Oreochromis niloticus: one gene and its partner. The protein of the gene in region 1 purifies or fractionates together with the protein of each later gene. This does not show direct contact. Links are inferred from orthologs where the notes say so. Each region holds a gene or a part of one and is shown in the gene's direction. Other genes may lie near its edges.

Region 1 (7,448 bases):
TTTGCTGACCTTAGTTAACTTTCTACCATCAGCAGGCAGGTGTCTGGATTGTTTGGTCATAGGTACTAATTGAATATTTTAACAGTATTTACAGTATTTAACAGCCCTGGTGTAGATCTCTTTCAGTAACAGAACTAGTCCCAAAGTTTAGAGTTTATGGTAATCCGGACAGTCCTTTTCTTTTTTTCTCTTCTTTTTTTTGTAAGAAGACTGATTTTAGCACGGTGGCCAGCACTGTTGCCAGACAGCAAGAAGGTCCTGAGTTCAATTCCACCATCAGGCCGGGGCCTTTCTGTGTGGCGTTTGCATGTTCTCCTCGTGTTTGCGTGGGTTCCCTCCGGGTACTCCAGCTTCCTCCCACCGTCTAAAGACATGCAGTTTGTGGGGATAGGTTAATTGATTAGTCTAAATTGCCCATAGGTGTGAATGTGAGTGTGAATGATTGTCTGTCTCTGTGTGTTAGCCCTGTGACAGACAGGCGACCTGTCCAGGGTGTACCCCGCCTCTCGCCCTATGAGAGCTGGGATAAGCTCCAGCCTCCCCGCGACCCTGAAAAGGAGAAGCGGAAGCGAATGGATGGATGGCATTCGGTCCCGATTCGATTCAATTTTGACTCAGGGAGAAATATTGTAATTCTCATCATTTATCAGTACATATCCACATTTTTATATCTATGTATAAAAACAAAGCTGACACTTGTGAGACTTTACCATCGGTGTAAGCATCACAGGAGATGCCTTTGTGTTAAGGTAAGTGAGGATAAAACTCAGAAAAACATGAAGGAGATTTTCTTGGCCTGGCTTTTTATAGCAGATAACCTTTAAAAATATTCTGCAGTAGGCAAAAAGCAGAAGAAAACCATGAATCAGCAGATGAACATTACCTGATGCTGAACAAAGCAGAGCAAAGTTACAGAGGTTTTATTAGAGAGCATTTTGCAATTCGGGATAATTTTAAAAAGTTTACATTTTTTTCATTGAACAACAGAAATTAGGCTTTCTTGTCGCAGGTCATTTTTGAAAAAACAAACAAACAAAAAACAGCAGCCGACAGCACTGAACACAACGGTAGACTGGTGCGTAATAAGCAGGCGAATAATGCAGAAAACAGAGATATTTCATGGTAAACTGGTCTCTTGAGTGCGCTGAGAGAGAGAAATAGCTGTGCAGGAAGTTTGATTTTATCGTGGTGGAAGCAAAACAGCAAAAGTCAGAGGGAATTCATGACGATGTTTATCAAATGCGAAGCATAGTTTTGATCTTCTTTTGCAGCTGGTTCAGTGAATTGTGGCCAGAGATTAATGAAACCTCCAGCTTCATAATCTTTCAGATGTCGGTTTTCAGCACCGACGGCACGCACGTGGACATGATCCGCGCTTTGTGTTCACTTCTTTTTGCGGAATCCGTTTACCTGCACTTTGTGAACCTTTTATCTAGAAAGGTGCTATATAAATAAATCTTTACTTAGTCTTTTTTACTTACTTTGTCCCACATGTGATTTTTCTCTCTGCTAATCTGACTTTCGGATTCTTTTAAGTACTAAACATAATACATGAGAAAGGTTTACCCACAATGCCACAACAATTAAATTGTGGCTCCTGAATGCAGTATAAAAATGCAAAAGGACACAATGTAAAGTATAAAGTGAACTCTGTCAGAGAGCAAATGTGCCTCTACACCTTTTTGCGTTTAAAACCCAAACATTATAAACATGAAAGATAAACTCACCAACGATTTTGTAAAGCTCTAATCATCATATATAGACGAAGTAATCCATATGCATGTAAATAGAAGTAGCTGTGTATTATCGTATAGTTTAGAAACAAAAAGTAGATGCAGCTGTGGTGAAAATTCATTTAGAGACCAAGTAATAATGAACAAATTCCCTTTACCTTTGGATTTGGTGATGACTCCTTTTTGAAGGGATGATCCTACAAAGCAGTATCTGCAGATCCCCTTTAACACACTTCTCAAGACCAAACAAGAATTTCCAAACACTGATTTGTGCCCGACTGCGTGTTTGTGTGTGTGCGTGTGTCGGACTGTGTGGGCAAAGTGTGAGCGAATGAATGTGAAAACTTGCTGTGCTTTTGACTAATTAGTTTTCAAAGTCCAAAGTCCATATCACGTGTGTGTGTGTGTGTGTCTCTGTGTGTGTGTGTTTAAGATGAAAGATGTAAGGAGTAGACATGTGACAAATTCAAAGACACCCCACCTCCAATGATACGGGTATCCAGTAGCTCTGATTTGCTGTGAACTTCAGGTCTGGGTCCCCTGGTCCCCTTCAGAGTGGTGGGTCACTTTAAATGACTATAATTACCATGTTCTAAGTTATCTCCATTACCCTATGATGAAATACTTCTGACCTGATTGGACTAGTATTCTCCAGGTGATTGTGCCTGCATCTGCAAGGTACAAGAGGTCACTGAACTGCTCTGATAATTATGAAAATGAAGTCAGTTATATTTTATGGCTTTCACAGTCACATGCACTCAATCAACATCTATGGGAGATTTTGGACCACCATGTAAGACCGTCCTCTCCACCGCCATCATAAACACCAAATGCAGGACTATCTTATAGAAGAGCGTTATTGCATATGGTCAGATAACTGTAGAACCAGTACCAGGCTATCTTTAAGCTACTTTAACACTCTTGATGTTGGATTTTTCTCTAATTTGTTACCAGTCTGTAGTTCCTGTGAGCATGTGATTTTCTAGTTTTATAACATCTGGCCATGAAGAATATCAGTGTTATCTCAAGGTCTAACCTGCTCACCACCACCCCCCCACACAGACACAGACACAGACACACACACACAGACACACACACACACACACACACACACACACACACACACACACACAAGCTGTCGTGACATGGCAGCGTGACCTGGAATGACAATAAGAAGATCAAAAGGATGGTAAGTAAGATCTTTTTAGTGCTGTCATCATGACAAAGAAAAATTAAACATTACAAGCACCCTCAAGAGAGTAATGTCTTTGCATGTGCATAAATGTGCTTATGCTTGAGGTTAACGTTTTAAACTTACTGATAAGAATGTTCAACTTCAGCAGCATTTACAGAAACCAGCCATGAACTACGACAGAAATTCTGTTATCTCAGCAGCTTCCTATAGTTTGAAAGAGAGATTGTGTTAGGGGTTGCTTAAAGCTGATATACACTAATGACATAATACATACTGCCCTTACTACTACTACTACTACTACTACTACTAATAATAATAATAATAATAATTTATGGCAGATGCTACTCTTCCAGACAGATACAGTACTGTGCAAAAGTCATGACTCACCTCTCATTTCTTTATATTTTGCTTCCAAGAAATCAGAGTATAAAGTGATCTTGAGGTATAGTTCTCCAACCTCTTCGAAGGTCTTTCAATGTGTTTTGAAAACTATTTTTTTTCACTCATCTTCAATCCAGTCCTGGTTCCTTACAGTTTAAAGAAAAAAGTTTTCTTTGTTTGTTAAGCCACTTACCACTGACCTATGAATTCATCAAGCATATCAATCATTCACCTAACTCAAGGGATAAACAAATGTTGTGGCTACATGTAGTCGATGAAAGATGGTTCAGTTGATCCATCTACTGTTCATCAAAGCTCAATGGTCTTAGTGGAAGGGTGGCTGTCGAGAAACCATTCTTAAAGAAGAGCAACAGGGAGAAAAGACAAATTACACAAGCACTGGACTGAAAACCAGTGGAAACAGGTCTGATGGAGTGATGATTTCAAATTTGAAATTCTTAGTTTAAATCATTATGCATTTGTACACAAGAGGTCAGGAGAGGTAAAGCAGTGAGTGTCTAAAGCTATCTGTAAAACATGGTGGTGGCTATGCAAAAGGGAGCCAACATGCCGAGAGGAGCTTTGAATGTCTTTCAAGAAGCCTGGCGAACTATTCCTGAAGTCTACTTAAAGAAAGGACAAGAACACTTGACTAGACTAAGGGATCTCTTTATCCTCTTTTTATATTCAGCTTCTGTGTTGTTCTTCCAGTTCAACCTGTTGTTGATGATGATGACATCCCAGTTCTCCTTCAGCTTGTCAACACCATTTTCAGGATAGTCATAAAATGAAATGAAATAAAGACAAATAACATGTTTTATTGCATATACGGATCGTTAATATCGCTGTAACACATTTTAGTTAAAGCTCATTAGTGTTTCTACTTTATTTAGAACCTCTCGTGCCACAGATGTGGCTCACGCTCCGAAAAGGGAACCTTTATGGAGAGCCGCTGGAGAAAAGAGGACTCTTTATGGGTGAACACCAGCAGTTTCCGGTAAAATTTGTTTTGAATTTTTTGTCGAGCTGCTGACAGGGACTCAGACTGTGGATTTCGGGTAAGGTTAAGCACGATGTTATTTTATTGTTTGATTATATCACATCATTTTCAATCCACAATATCAGGGGAGTGTTAGATTTTAGAGTCTGTGAGTCTGGAGGACTTTTAAATCGACCGTTAATGACGTATTAGCTGTTCCTCTGTCGTTTGTTGTCTTAACGCAAACTCCGGCTTCAGTTTTCTTTCTGTTTTGTGGGATTTATTTCTGTTGTGTGACAGAAATGTCCACGCTGTTTCCGTCGTTGCTGCCCCGGATAACGGAGTCTCTGTGGTTTAATCTGGACCGACCGTGTGTGGATGAGACCGAGCTGCACCAGCAAGAGCAGCAACACCAGACCTGGGTAAAGGCTCCCCAGAGCAATTATAGACTTGTATTTTCCATCTTTATGCTATTTTGTTGCTTGCAGTTCACTTACGATGCGTTTATATATTGATTTTGCGCATGTTAGTTTGTAATTTATTAGTTTGAGTATTTGCGAAAGGCTAAAAGTCATATAGAAGTCATATAGTCTGCTATAATTACTTGTGGCTTTTTTATTTTTCCTTTATCAGAATCAAAATAATAAATAAACTTATAAATAAATCTTAATCCCAGGAGGAAATCATTCTAACTTGAAATATAAATAAGAGAAACAGAAAGTGTAAACACTATATATATAAAAGAGTAAAACTAAGGCACTCAAAGTGCAATTTTTAGTCAAAATTAAATGTTCCAACGTTAAAACAATACAATACAATACTATACACAGTACGGTGTGAAAGATTGTTCAGTACTTAGCATAACTTGGACAGTATTGTCCTTTCTGAAACCTCAGATCAGTCAAGCTCCACAGCTGCAACATCTCTGGCCATGCATGATCAGTCTATGCATCCTATTATGAGACTTCATACACTTTAATATGTGCAAACTGTCTCTACCGTAGCTGCAGAGTATTGCTGAGAAAGACAACAACCTGATGCCCATTGGAAAACCAATTTTTGAGGTAACGGAAAAAGAATTTTAAACACAAAATAGACAAAGTGTGAAACAGAGTGGCTACATACTTTGTTCCCCTCCATTCATGCTCTCTGCATTTACTGGGTGCAGGCAGGCTACGAAGAGGAGGAAGAAGAAGATGATGAAGATGAAGAAGACAGCGAGGAAGACTCAGAAGATGAAGAGGACATGCAGGACATGGATGAGATGAACGACTACAATGAGTCACCTGATGATGGCGAGATCAATGAGGTGCTTTTCTTTATGATTTGAATAATTTTTTTTTCCAGGCGACAGTGTCACAAACCCAATGGTCATGAGGTGTTTTAGTGTTAAGACTTGGTAAAAATACATGTATCTAAATTTAATTCCATTTCTTTCCTTTACCAAAAATGCCTCTAATCTAGCTTGGTTTCTTTCTGTCAGGTGGATATGGAAGGACCAGACCAAGACCAAGACCAGTGGATGATTTAAGATGATACTGGTTTTCATCAGGCCGGCCCTGGGTTTCCACTCAATGCTTAAAATACAACTACTGCTCTTCAGTCTCTGACATGTTTTTATGTGTGAAATTATGGAAAGAATAATACTGAAGAATCACCATAAGATACTTTGAGAAATCAGTGCATTTTTCTAACTTAAATTTAATTACAATTGACAGTGTGTGATGGTGGAAAATAATCAAAGTGGCTCCAAGTGTGTGGTGCTCTTAAGTAGGTGTTGTTTTTGTATCAGGAAAATCTTCACGCAGTGGTAGCAGCAGGCCCAGTGATCCATTATGTAAACCTTGAACTTTTGCTATCTACAGTTATGCAGAGCAGCGTCTGTAACCAGCAGACTAAGCATAACCATAACGTCAAGTCAGCAAAATAACTTATTGAACTATGCAAGAGTCACCCAGTTGCTTTACCATATAGTCCTGTTCTGTTTCCCAGCAGTGTTTTGTATGTTACAGAAATACCTTCAGCAGAGGATTCATAAAACCCCAGGACATGTATTCTGTTCAGACACTTTTTATATTTTGAACTATGTCGGAAGCAAAAGATGCTAACAAATATTTAAATGTGAGACACAGAGTTCTGTCATGGTCATGTTGTAGAATATTTAACCATGGCATTCCCTACTTCTACTGAAGTTGTAAATTATTTTAACTGAACCATGTTTCTGTTTTTGTGTATTTGAATTTATTAATAAAATATAAGAAAATGTGACGCGTCACTTGTAGTTCAATAACAATTTTGAGAATTTTGGTGGTGGGATGTCCAAGGTTTATATAATTAGACTTTAACTGCAGGAAAGATTTTAAGAATTAATGCTGGCAGTTATCATCTGAAGGAAGACGGGCGATTAATATTAACATAAACTTTAATAAAAATGTAATTTTAATTTAGGTTTAATTTGCATTTAGATTTGCATTAAATTTTGGAGTGTGAGTCTTTCAAATTTGGGAGTTAGAAAAAAAAGAAGCCTTAAAAAAGTTGTTTATTTGAGTCTTTAAACAAAAAGAAGACATGAGATGCTGAGAAGTCACAACAAAGTCCCAGTAGAATAAAAGGTGATTGGAGCTTATAAGACACCTAAACTGGAGATTCTATATATAGAAATATAAACAAAGTGTCAGCCTTTTGTTTTAAGATTTAATTTAGCTTTTTTTGTTTTTGTGGGTAAATGTTGCAGTAACTGATCTCTTTTGAAATCGGTAGGGCACTAGGTCAAGCTCCTTCTTTACCCAGAATGCACTAGTAAGTTATTTTGCAATGTATTTCTTCACAGGTTGAGCTGTATTACACAGACTAGAAATTGAAACGATACCCCTTTAGATGAAGTAATACAGAAGAGAATCATCACAACTTTCCCTAAGAATTTGGACATTTCTGTTTCTGAAGTGTGTGTTTGAGTAACAATATGAAATCTTATCATGATGTCATGATCTACTTGATTCCCTGGTACACCAGCTCAGCCATCCCATCCCTGATGCCCTTACTATACTCTAGCGTGGCCCGGTGGATCCTCCATTCATACAGGCCACTCTTGCGAATATATCTAAGGAACTTTGGAGCACCAGGAAACAGCACATTATCTGCCAGGATAATAGATCCTTTT
Region 2 (8,238 bases), on another chromosome or scaffold:
ACAGCGTTCCTCCGACACTCTGGTGCTACACATGACATATAACAGACGAACACAGGACTGCTTGAAGTGCAACGTGCAAAAAATGCAAAAAAACAAGACAGTGTAACTCTAGACAGAACAGGACGATACAGACACAAGACAACACAAGACAGTGCAATGGAAATGTGCAAAATGTGCAAATAGTAACCTGGTGTCTGAAGGTGTGTGTGTGTGTGTGTGTGTGTGTGTGTGTGTGTGTGTGTGTGTGTGTGTGTGTGTGTTTTTTGTCATTCCAGTCACTGGGTGTTCAGGAGTCTGACGGCTTGGGGGAAGAACTGTTCCGTAGTTTGGCAGTGAGGTACCGGATGCTCCGGTACCTCTTTCCAGAAGGCAGCAGGGTGGAGAGTGTGTGTGGGTCCTCCACAATGCTGTTGGCTTTGCGGATGGAGCGGGTTCTATAAGTGTCTGTGATGGAGGAAAGAGAGGCTCCAATGATCTTCTCAGCTGCTCTCACTATCTGTTGTAGGGTGTTGCGATCTGATACCAGGGGCGATTTTAGCCCATTTTTTGAAGCACCCCCAAAAATGGATCAAAGCACCCCCAAAGATTTCTTACTTTTTTGGAAAATATTTGCTGTTTGTGTGCCACACTACTAAAAATATAAAAAGCATTCAGTACTTGGTTGAGACGTAACATTTTAACAACAAAAGTATAGATACCCCCCCTCCCAAAATGGTTTGTTCCAGCTCGCCTCTCCCCTACTCTGGCTCTAGCACCGTTGCTGCCAGAGTGATGGTGGCTGACACGCAGCGGAGCGGAGGTGTGAGTGCTGGCTTAAAACAGGACATATTAGCTGCATTTAACCTTCACTTACTCTTTATATAGTTAGGTAGGAGTTAGGCCATGTTTCTTTTTAACTGAAAAACATTACACCCAGGCAACCTGCAGTGTTGGAAACGTGTTTTCCAACGATGTTTGCTACCCTACAATCCATCCTACTCTGTAGTAAAATCAGCGACATTTGACCGTCCTGTTGCTCCCATTGAAATTTAGCCTATTTAAAATCTAAAACTGAAAATTGTCCGTAGCCTGCTGTTGTTGCCACTGTCCTGTTTGAAGTGGAATGAGAGAAGCTGGTTATTTTGTCATATGTGCATGTGCCAATATTAAACCCAGGAGCCACATTCAGGTAAACTTGTAAGATTAAATGATCCGTCAATAAAGGATAATGTTGGATCAGTGTTTCAATATTTATATCTTTTATTAGATGTACATGTAGTTTGGTTATTTGCCATTTGGTTGAAAGTACACTGAGAGGGGACTTTTTTTTTATTAGTGTTCTTAATAATAATAATTTTTTTAATGTTAATGTAATTTTTTCATCTAATTGAATACAATCTATTTGTGTATGATTGTCAGTCCAAAGAGGGAGAGAGGAAAGAGGGGAGCGTGAGGAGAAAGTACAAGGTCAGGAAGAAACAGGTAAGAAAACAGACAGGGAACAGTGACATTCAAAACAAACTGTTAAACTGCTTGAGAGAGTTGACCACCAAAAAGTGATAGACAGATTTGCCAACCTCAAGGTGAGGCACATAGGTTAAATTAAAAGAAAAAATCTGCAGAGCCGTAGAAGTATCTGCAGTAAAGATCTTTTCATACATTGTATACATTGTACCATAGGCAAAGTTGCCTCCATTTTTATAATTTTTTCATCAATATTTTGTACATTTCAAGGACTCAATTTTTGGAGTGTATTTTTATATATCTGTATTGTATTATACATACACATTAAAAGTGAATCTCTGTCCAAAAAATGCACTCAGTTTACTTGTTACTCACTGTGAGCATCATTCATCATTTTCCCCCAGTAATTAAGGTTAGGATATGTATTTTTTTTATTATTATTCCAATCCATTCTTCGTTTGCAGCATTTAAATAACCTTTATCTGATTTGATGGTTTTGTTACAGACTTTAAAAAAAAGTGTTTTGCTTTTCTTTCACAAATATGGGGATTAAATTGTGTTAAAATGTACAAAACAATGATGTCATGTTTTGTGACGAGGACCCAGGCACAGAGAGACTTGATGAGTTTAAGAATCTTATGATTTAATAAAGAAATTTGCAGACTTGCACAGAACTGGTAAAATTATGATGACTGATAATGGAGATGAAGACAACAGACGATGAGGACAGGGAGGAACAGGGGTTTAAATGCACCAAAGAGACAGTCAGAGGAAACTCGGGACAACTGGAGACATTTAAGGATGCAGGGACTGACAGAGACAGGGAAGAAGTCTCATCGTGACGAGTAAAGTTTATCTTGCCTGGCTGGGCAGCTCTCTGGGTGCTCAGCACCCTCAAAGCTCTGATCCTAGAATCGCCCCTGTCTGATACGGTACAGTTACCATACCATTCACACACAGTGGAACTCACTGATGTCTTCACAGACATCTTCAATATATCACTTATCCAATATATCACTTATCCAGGCTGTCGTCCCCACATGTTTTAAAGCCACCACAATCATTCCGGTTCCAAAAAAGTCATCTCCCTCCTGCTTTAATGACTACCGTCCTGTTGCACTTACTCCCATCCTGATGAAGTGCTTCGAACGACTAGTCATGCAACACATCAAGACTGTCCTGCCCCCCTCCCTGGATCCCTTCCAGTTTGCGTATCGGCCCAACCGCTCAACCGATGATGCTATCTCCACTGCACTCCACTCAGCACTCACACACCTGGACAAAAAAGACTCATATGTTCGAATGCTGTTCATAGATTTCAGTTCAGCATTCAACACTATAATCCCCCAACAGCTCACTCAAAAACTGGTCCAGTTGGGGCTTAACACCTCTCTGTGCAACTGGCTGTTGGATTTCCTCACCGGAAGACCTCAAGCAGTACGGGTCGGCAGTAATACATCCAGCACCATCATTTTAAACACGGGGGCCCCGCAGGGATGTGTGCTGAGCCCCCTCCTCTTCACTCTGCTGACCCATGACTGCACTCCATCATACAGCTCCAACCTCTTCATCAAGTTTGCGGACGACACAACGGTGGTGGGTCTCATTAGCAACAGGGATGAGACCGACTACAGAAGTGAGGTGAGACGCCTGGCCACGTGGTGTGTTGACAACAATCTCTCTCTGAATGTGGAGAAGACGAAGGAGATTGTTGTGGACTTCAGGAGAATGCACACCCAACATGCTCCTCTGACCATTGACGGAGCGTCTGTGGAGAGAGTGAGCAGCACTAAGTTCTTGGGTGTGCACATCACAGAGGATCTCTCCTGGACGTACAACACCACAGCACTGGCCAAGAAATCACAGCAGCGTCTCTTCTTTCTCAGACTGAAGGACAGCTTCATCCATCAGGCTGTCAGGAAGCTTAACTCCCTCCCGATTCTGCCCCCTCTCCCCTCTCTCCTCCACGGTCTCACTGAACTCTGTCACACACACACACACACACACACACTCTCTGACTCACTCACTGGCCTGCACCAGTTATTAGTCACTTTGTGGAGCATTGGACCACCACTACCTCATAAGACTTTGTTGTTACACTATCTCCTACCGTACATTACCAAATCTCCATTTGCACTATTTGCCTATTTGCACTACCTTGCCTGGTTTACACCCAATGTCATTTACCCTTACCTGAATATTGTATATTGTATATTGTATAGCTTTTTTTTTGTTATATGTAAAATTGTACTGTATTTATTTAAATTTTTACTTTTTAATTATTCTACTTGCATTTTTAATCACTCTCTTATATTTAAATGTTCATTTGGGTTTGAGAGTAACGAAATTTCTATTCTCTGTATGTCCTGTACATGTGGCAGAATTGACAAATAAAGTTGACTTTGACTTTGACTTTGACACAAACACATTGATGGATGTATTAGGAGAAACTCGGGGTTCAGGATCTTCCCCGAGGATAGTCAATCTCCCCAAGACCACAACTGCCAGTTATTTAAAGCCGCCATTCTAAATGGCTCATGGCTTCATGTCAGCCAGTCTGCTGTTGCTACTAACCAGTCTGAGCACCAGGAGGCGACAGAACACTGAACACCGCTGTAATGAGTTTTACCACCAGAAGGCGAAGGAGATACTTCGGCTTTCTCCGTTTGACAGTCGTTCATGTCCGCCGCGGCATTTTCCCTCCTCGGGTATCTTCGGCGGTACTCGGTTGCTAACGGTCGGTATGTTCAAATGTTCGGCTGCAGCTCCTCCTGAGACTCAAGTGAAGAAAGAGCGGAGAGAAAAGAGACCCCCGGACCGGACAGAAGGAGTCTCAGAGCGGGATGACGGTGCTGCAGGAACCTGTCCAGGTATAAATACACACCTTTGGCTCGTTGTCACGCGTGGGGAGCGGAGCATTTATGAAGTTTGTGCCTGTCTCTGCGCCCCGGCCTTAGTGGTGGGTGCAATCCGTGGTGAGAGCGCTGTTCCTCGGCCGCAGGCCCCATAGAGGGCCGCTGACGGCACAGAGAGAGTTTTCTGCTATTATTGGTGGTCGTTAGTCCGTTAGTACCCTCTGTCACGGCCCGTTCGGGTCACGCAGAGCTTTTAATTTACACCCGGTACAACTGAGATATGTCATGCCAGCCACCTTTAAATATTTGTCAGATTAAGATTCCAGGTATTTCCGATCTAATTAAAGGGAGAAATTGGTCAGTTTATTTGATATTTCATGAATGGTTTTGTTCCGCACATCTTTTGGGCTCAGATCCAAAAAACGAACACGGTCTAATTTTAAAATAAAACCACCCGGAATCCGAACAGGTCCATCTGAAGAGGCCTGAGTCCGGCTGAGGGGAAATGACCCGCGGAGAGCGAACAGACCTCTTTAAAGTCAGTGTTTCACCGGAACCAGCTGTGGGTGGGTCACTGACTGTGAGCAGAATTTGTCATAGAACAGGGCCCGATGTTCTCAGGTATATCACGGAGTTTCAGATGTGTGCAGGTGAGAGTGCAGAGAGAAACGGTTGGATTTCAAATGGAGTTCTGTGTTAGCATGACTCGGTTAGCAGCTAACGCGGTTGCTAACACTCAGCGGAGTTTCAGTAAGGAGGAACTCTGCTTTAAAGTTCATAAAACGATCAAAGCCGCTCCTTGGGAGTCTGTTAATGTCAGAGTCTGACCGCAGATCAGCCGCGACAGATGAAGGTATCCCGCGGCCGTTAGACTCTCACAGCTAGCACAGGCTAATGGCAGCTAACTGCCCGGTAACATGAACCGCTGTTAGCTGTTAGCCGTTAGCTGCCATGTCAGCCGCAGACTGATGGGTAATGTCTCCTCACAGGTGTGTTTGTGATCTCACTCAGGTAAACTGTGACTGCAGAGTTAAAGTGAAGTGACGTCAGTAACGGAACAGCTGCAGTGATCGATCAGCGCATTGATCAATAACTTTCCTGAGCTTGACCCCATCGATAACAATCAGGCATAAACACGGCCCGTCTCACATGATGCCCTCAGATGTGTTTGGAGTACTAACCAATGGCAGCACACAGTGTTGCTCTAACTGCGGTATTGGCTATTGATTATGTATGGCTCGGTGTTAGCAGGTACAGGTGACACAGCCTTCATTTTAACCTAGAGTCAAAAACTGTTTACAGTCAGGTAAACCTGTACTGCTCGTAGTCCTTAAGCTTTCTACTGATCAATACCAGCGTTTGATCAATAACTGTGTGTTTACTGTTGAAATACACTGATTATAGCTGAGTGTGGGAGGAGATCACATTTGAGCTCCACAGCCAGTTTTTCCAGTCGTCTGGCTCTAAGGTCAGCATGGCCGCCTTGTGGTGGACTGAGACGGCTTCAGGTCCTTTTGTAGTAATACAGAGTAATGTAACAAGTTACTTTATTCAGTGAGTAACTAAATGAGATACCAAATTACTTATAAGAAAAGTAACAAGCTATCTCTAACACATTACTTTTTAAAAAATAAGAATAATTTCCAGCTGTTTGCAGTTCTGGCTCAGTTTGATAAATAATGTGGATTTAATGCAAAATGAATCTCAAAAGCTGGACAGATACACCAACACATCTGTGTGTGTGTGTGTGTGTGTGTGGAAACAGCAGGCTTACAGAAGCTCGTCTGTGTCTCCAGATGTAGAGGTGATGTGAGACACATCTGTGCAGCTGTGTGTCTGGTAACGAGGTGACTCGTGACTGAAGTTGGATGTTTTCTGCTCTGCTTGCTGTCATTGCATTGTTACAGTGAAGCGGGCAAATACATTTATGATGTCACTGCGTGTCGTTGTATCGTAAGTGGTGAGAACGGTGCTGTCTCTATGGAAACGAGCGGTTCTGCTTCTTTATCCAAGTTCAAACGGCCCAAATCTCCACACTCTAACTCCTCCCACCTCCTTTTCAGCGGCGTCCTCATCTTCAGAGTCTTGTCTGTCTTTTGGGACGTTGTCACTTTACTTTCCATTGATGTTTTCTGACGTCATTTCCTCATTCAAACTCAGGCTCCTACTGTTAGGACAGGTGTGGTCCTTCCACGCTTTGTGGCTCAGCCTATCCTGACCTGGCTTTGGTAGGGTGGGCAGTTGGAGGGTCGTACCAGTTGGAGCCCTTGAGCTCTGGATTCTGAACTCCTTGGTTCATAATTCATACATAAATCACTCGTACGTACTGTGACTATTTTGTTCCTTCTGCTGCATGGTTAGGTGCTGCAATCATCAAGGACAGAAAAATAATCTCTTTTTCTTCTTTTTTTTTTTTTATCACATTCCTGTTTTGGATAGAAGAATATGAACAAAAATGGATATGGGAATCTCATCCTCTTCCTCCTCACCTTAAGCCTCACTCCTGGACTGTAGTTGGGGCTCTAACATACCCATATGGAAAAGAAATAGTAAAAACTTATATGATTTACTCATGAAAGTGGCCACTTTCTCATTACTTTCATATATTGTTTTAGTAAGTATCCAAAACATACAAGTTTCATTTATATAATTTTTCAAGGGATCTTATATCTGTTTTCACTCTTGTATGCTTTTCATACAAGTTTCACACAAGACAGATACAAACTTTATAAGATTTATATATATCTTTTCCATATGGGTAAGAAATCCTACAAGAACATATTTAATCTCAACATTGTCACATTGAGTTATGGTCAGCAGATCAGACATGCGAGCATCTGAGACATGGCTGAACAACAGGATGATGTCACAAGCTGAGGTCATGCCAGATAACATTAGATTGTAGTGTCTTTAAACTAATTTCCCTCTGATCAACAGTTTGATTACGTTCTCACGTCATGAGAGTTTATTTGCTCAGTGCCACTGAGATAGATCCACTTCAAAAGAAGTTTCATATATGGCCTTGAGGAGAAGAGAAACTAACGGCAGCGCTGTACTCGGCAGTTCATCTCAGTGTCGCTGTCATCAATCACAACTGAGCTACGGCGACTCAGGGCTGGGATCATCACTGATTTCGACAACTGATTCAAAGTACCCGACTCGGTTAGATTCAATGACATTCTGACTCAGTCAGAAATGTCATGATGATGATCATATTTCTTGGATGTGTACTGTCAAAACAACCCTCTGAACCTTGTAAATGAAAAACATTTAATTCTAAATTATTTGAATGTTTCTCTGCGATTGCAAACTCAGTGTGAACTATCTGTGCATGAAAACAAAGTTGACACTGTGAGACTTCATCAGAGGTGTGAGCATCACAGCAGAGGCCTTTGTGTCAGAGTAACTGAGGACAGGTGTCTGTCAGAGGGCTAACACATAGACACACAGACAAACATTCACCCTTTGAAAATATTCTGCAGTAGATCAAAAAATGAACAAAACCATGAATCAACATCTGAACATAACCTGTAGACAGGTGCGTAATAAGCAAGACAGACAATCATCAGTCCAACAATTGACGATGGGCAATATATTTGCGCATGCTCAGACATTTTGATGGGCGGAGCAATATAATCATGCACGGACTGATTTGAGGACCAAACATAGATGAACTAATTTCCAAAATTAGGGCTGTCAGTGTTAACACGTTAATCCGGTGTTGACGCGATTAAAATTTGTAACGCTCGCAACCCATCCGAAGCTCAGAATGAACAAACTTTAGACAAACTGCCCAAAGTGTGTAGACATTTCAGGTTTTTTTGGCTCAGTCCGGTCCTGATGGGTTAGTTGTTAATCGCATTTGTCGTGATGACGGCGCGTTAACACTGACAGCACTAAAAGAATATAAAGTCACTTATTTGGGATGAAAGTTTACAAA

The links.
Region 2: the proteins of anapc15 (region 1) and cdc27 purify together in Homo sapiens (affinity purification with mass spectrometry; 3 studies listed by BioGRID and IntAct, with this or other methods). This does not show direct contact. The link is inferred for Oreochromis niloticus from reciprocal best matches to the Homo sapiens genes ANAPC15 and CDC27.

What each region holds. Positions count from the first base shown.
Region 1 is NC_031979.2:11,650,440-11,657,887, reverse strand, and holds anapc15 (anaphase-promoting complex subunit 15), read left to right. Parts: upstream 1-4,230; 5' UTR 4,231-4,367; intron 4,368-4,588; 5' UTR 4,589-4,590; coding exon 4,591-4,710; intron 4,711-5,292; coding exon 5,293-5,352; intron 5,353-5,456; coding exon 5,457-5,597; intron 5,598-5,771; coding exon 5,772-5,819; 3' UTR 5,820-6,553; downstream 6,554-7,448. Other genes in the region: tomt (transmembrane O-methyltransferase homolog), read right to left, coding at 7,277-7,448. UniProt on the Homo sapiens protein: Component of the anaphase promoting complex/cyclosome (APC/C), a cell cycle-regulated E3 ubiquitin ligase that controls progression through mitosis and the G1 phase of the cell cycle.
Region 2 is NC_031969.2:35,399,829-35,408,066, reverse strand, and holds the start of cdc27 (cell division cycle protein 27 homolog), read left to right. Parts: upstream 1-4,775; 5' UTR 4,776-4,909; coding exon 4,910-4,948; intron 4,949-8,238. UniProt on the Homo sapiens protein: Component of the anaphase promoting complex/cyclosome (APC/C), a cell cycle-regulated E3 ubiquitin ligase that controls progression through mitosis and the G1 phase of the cell cycle.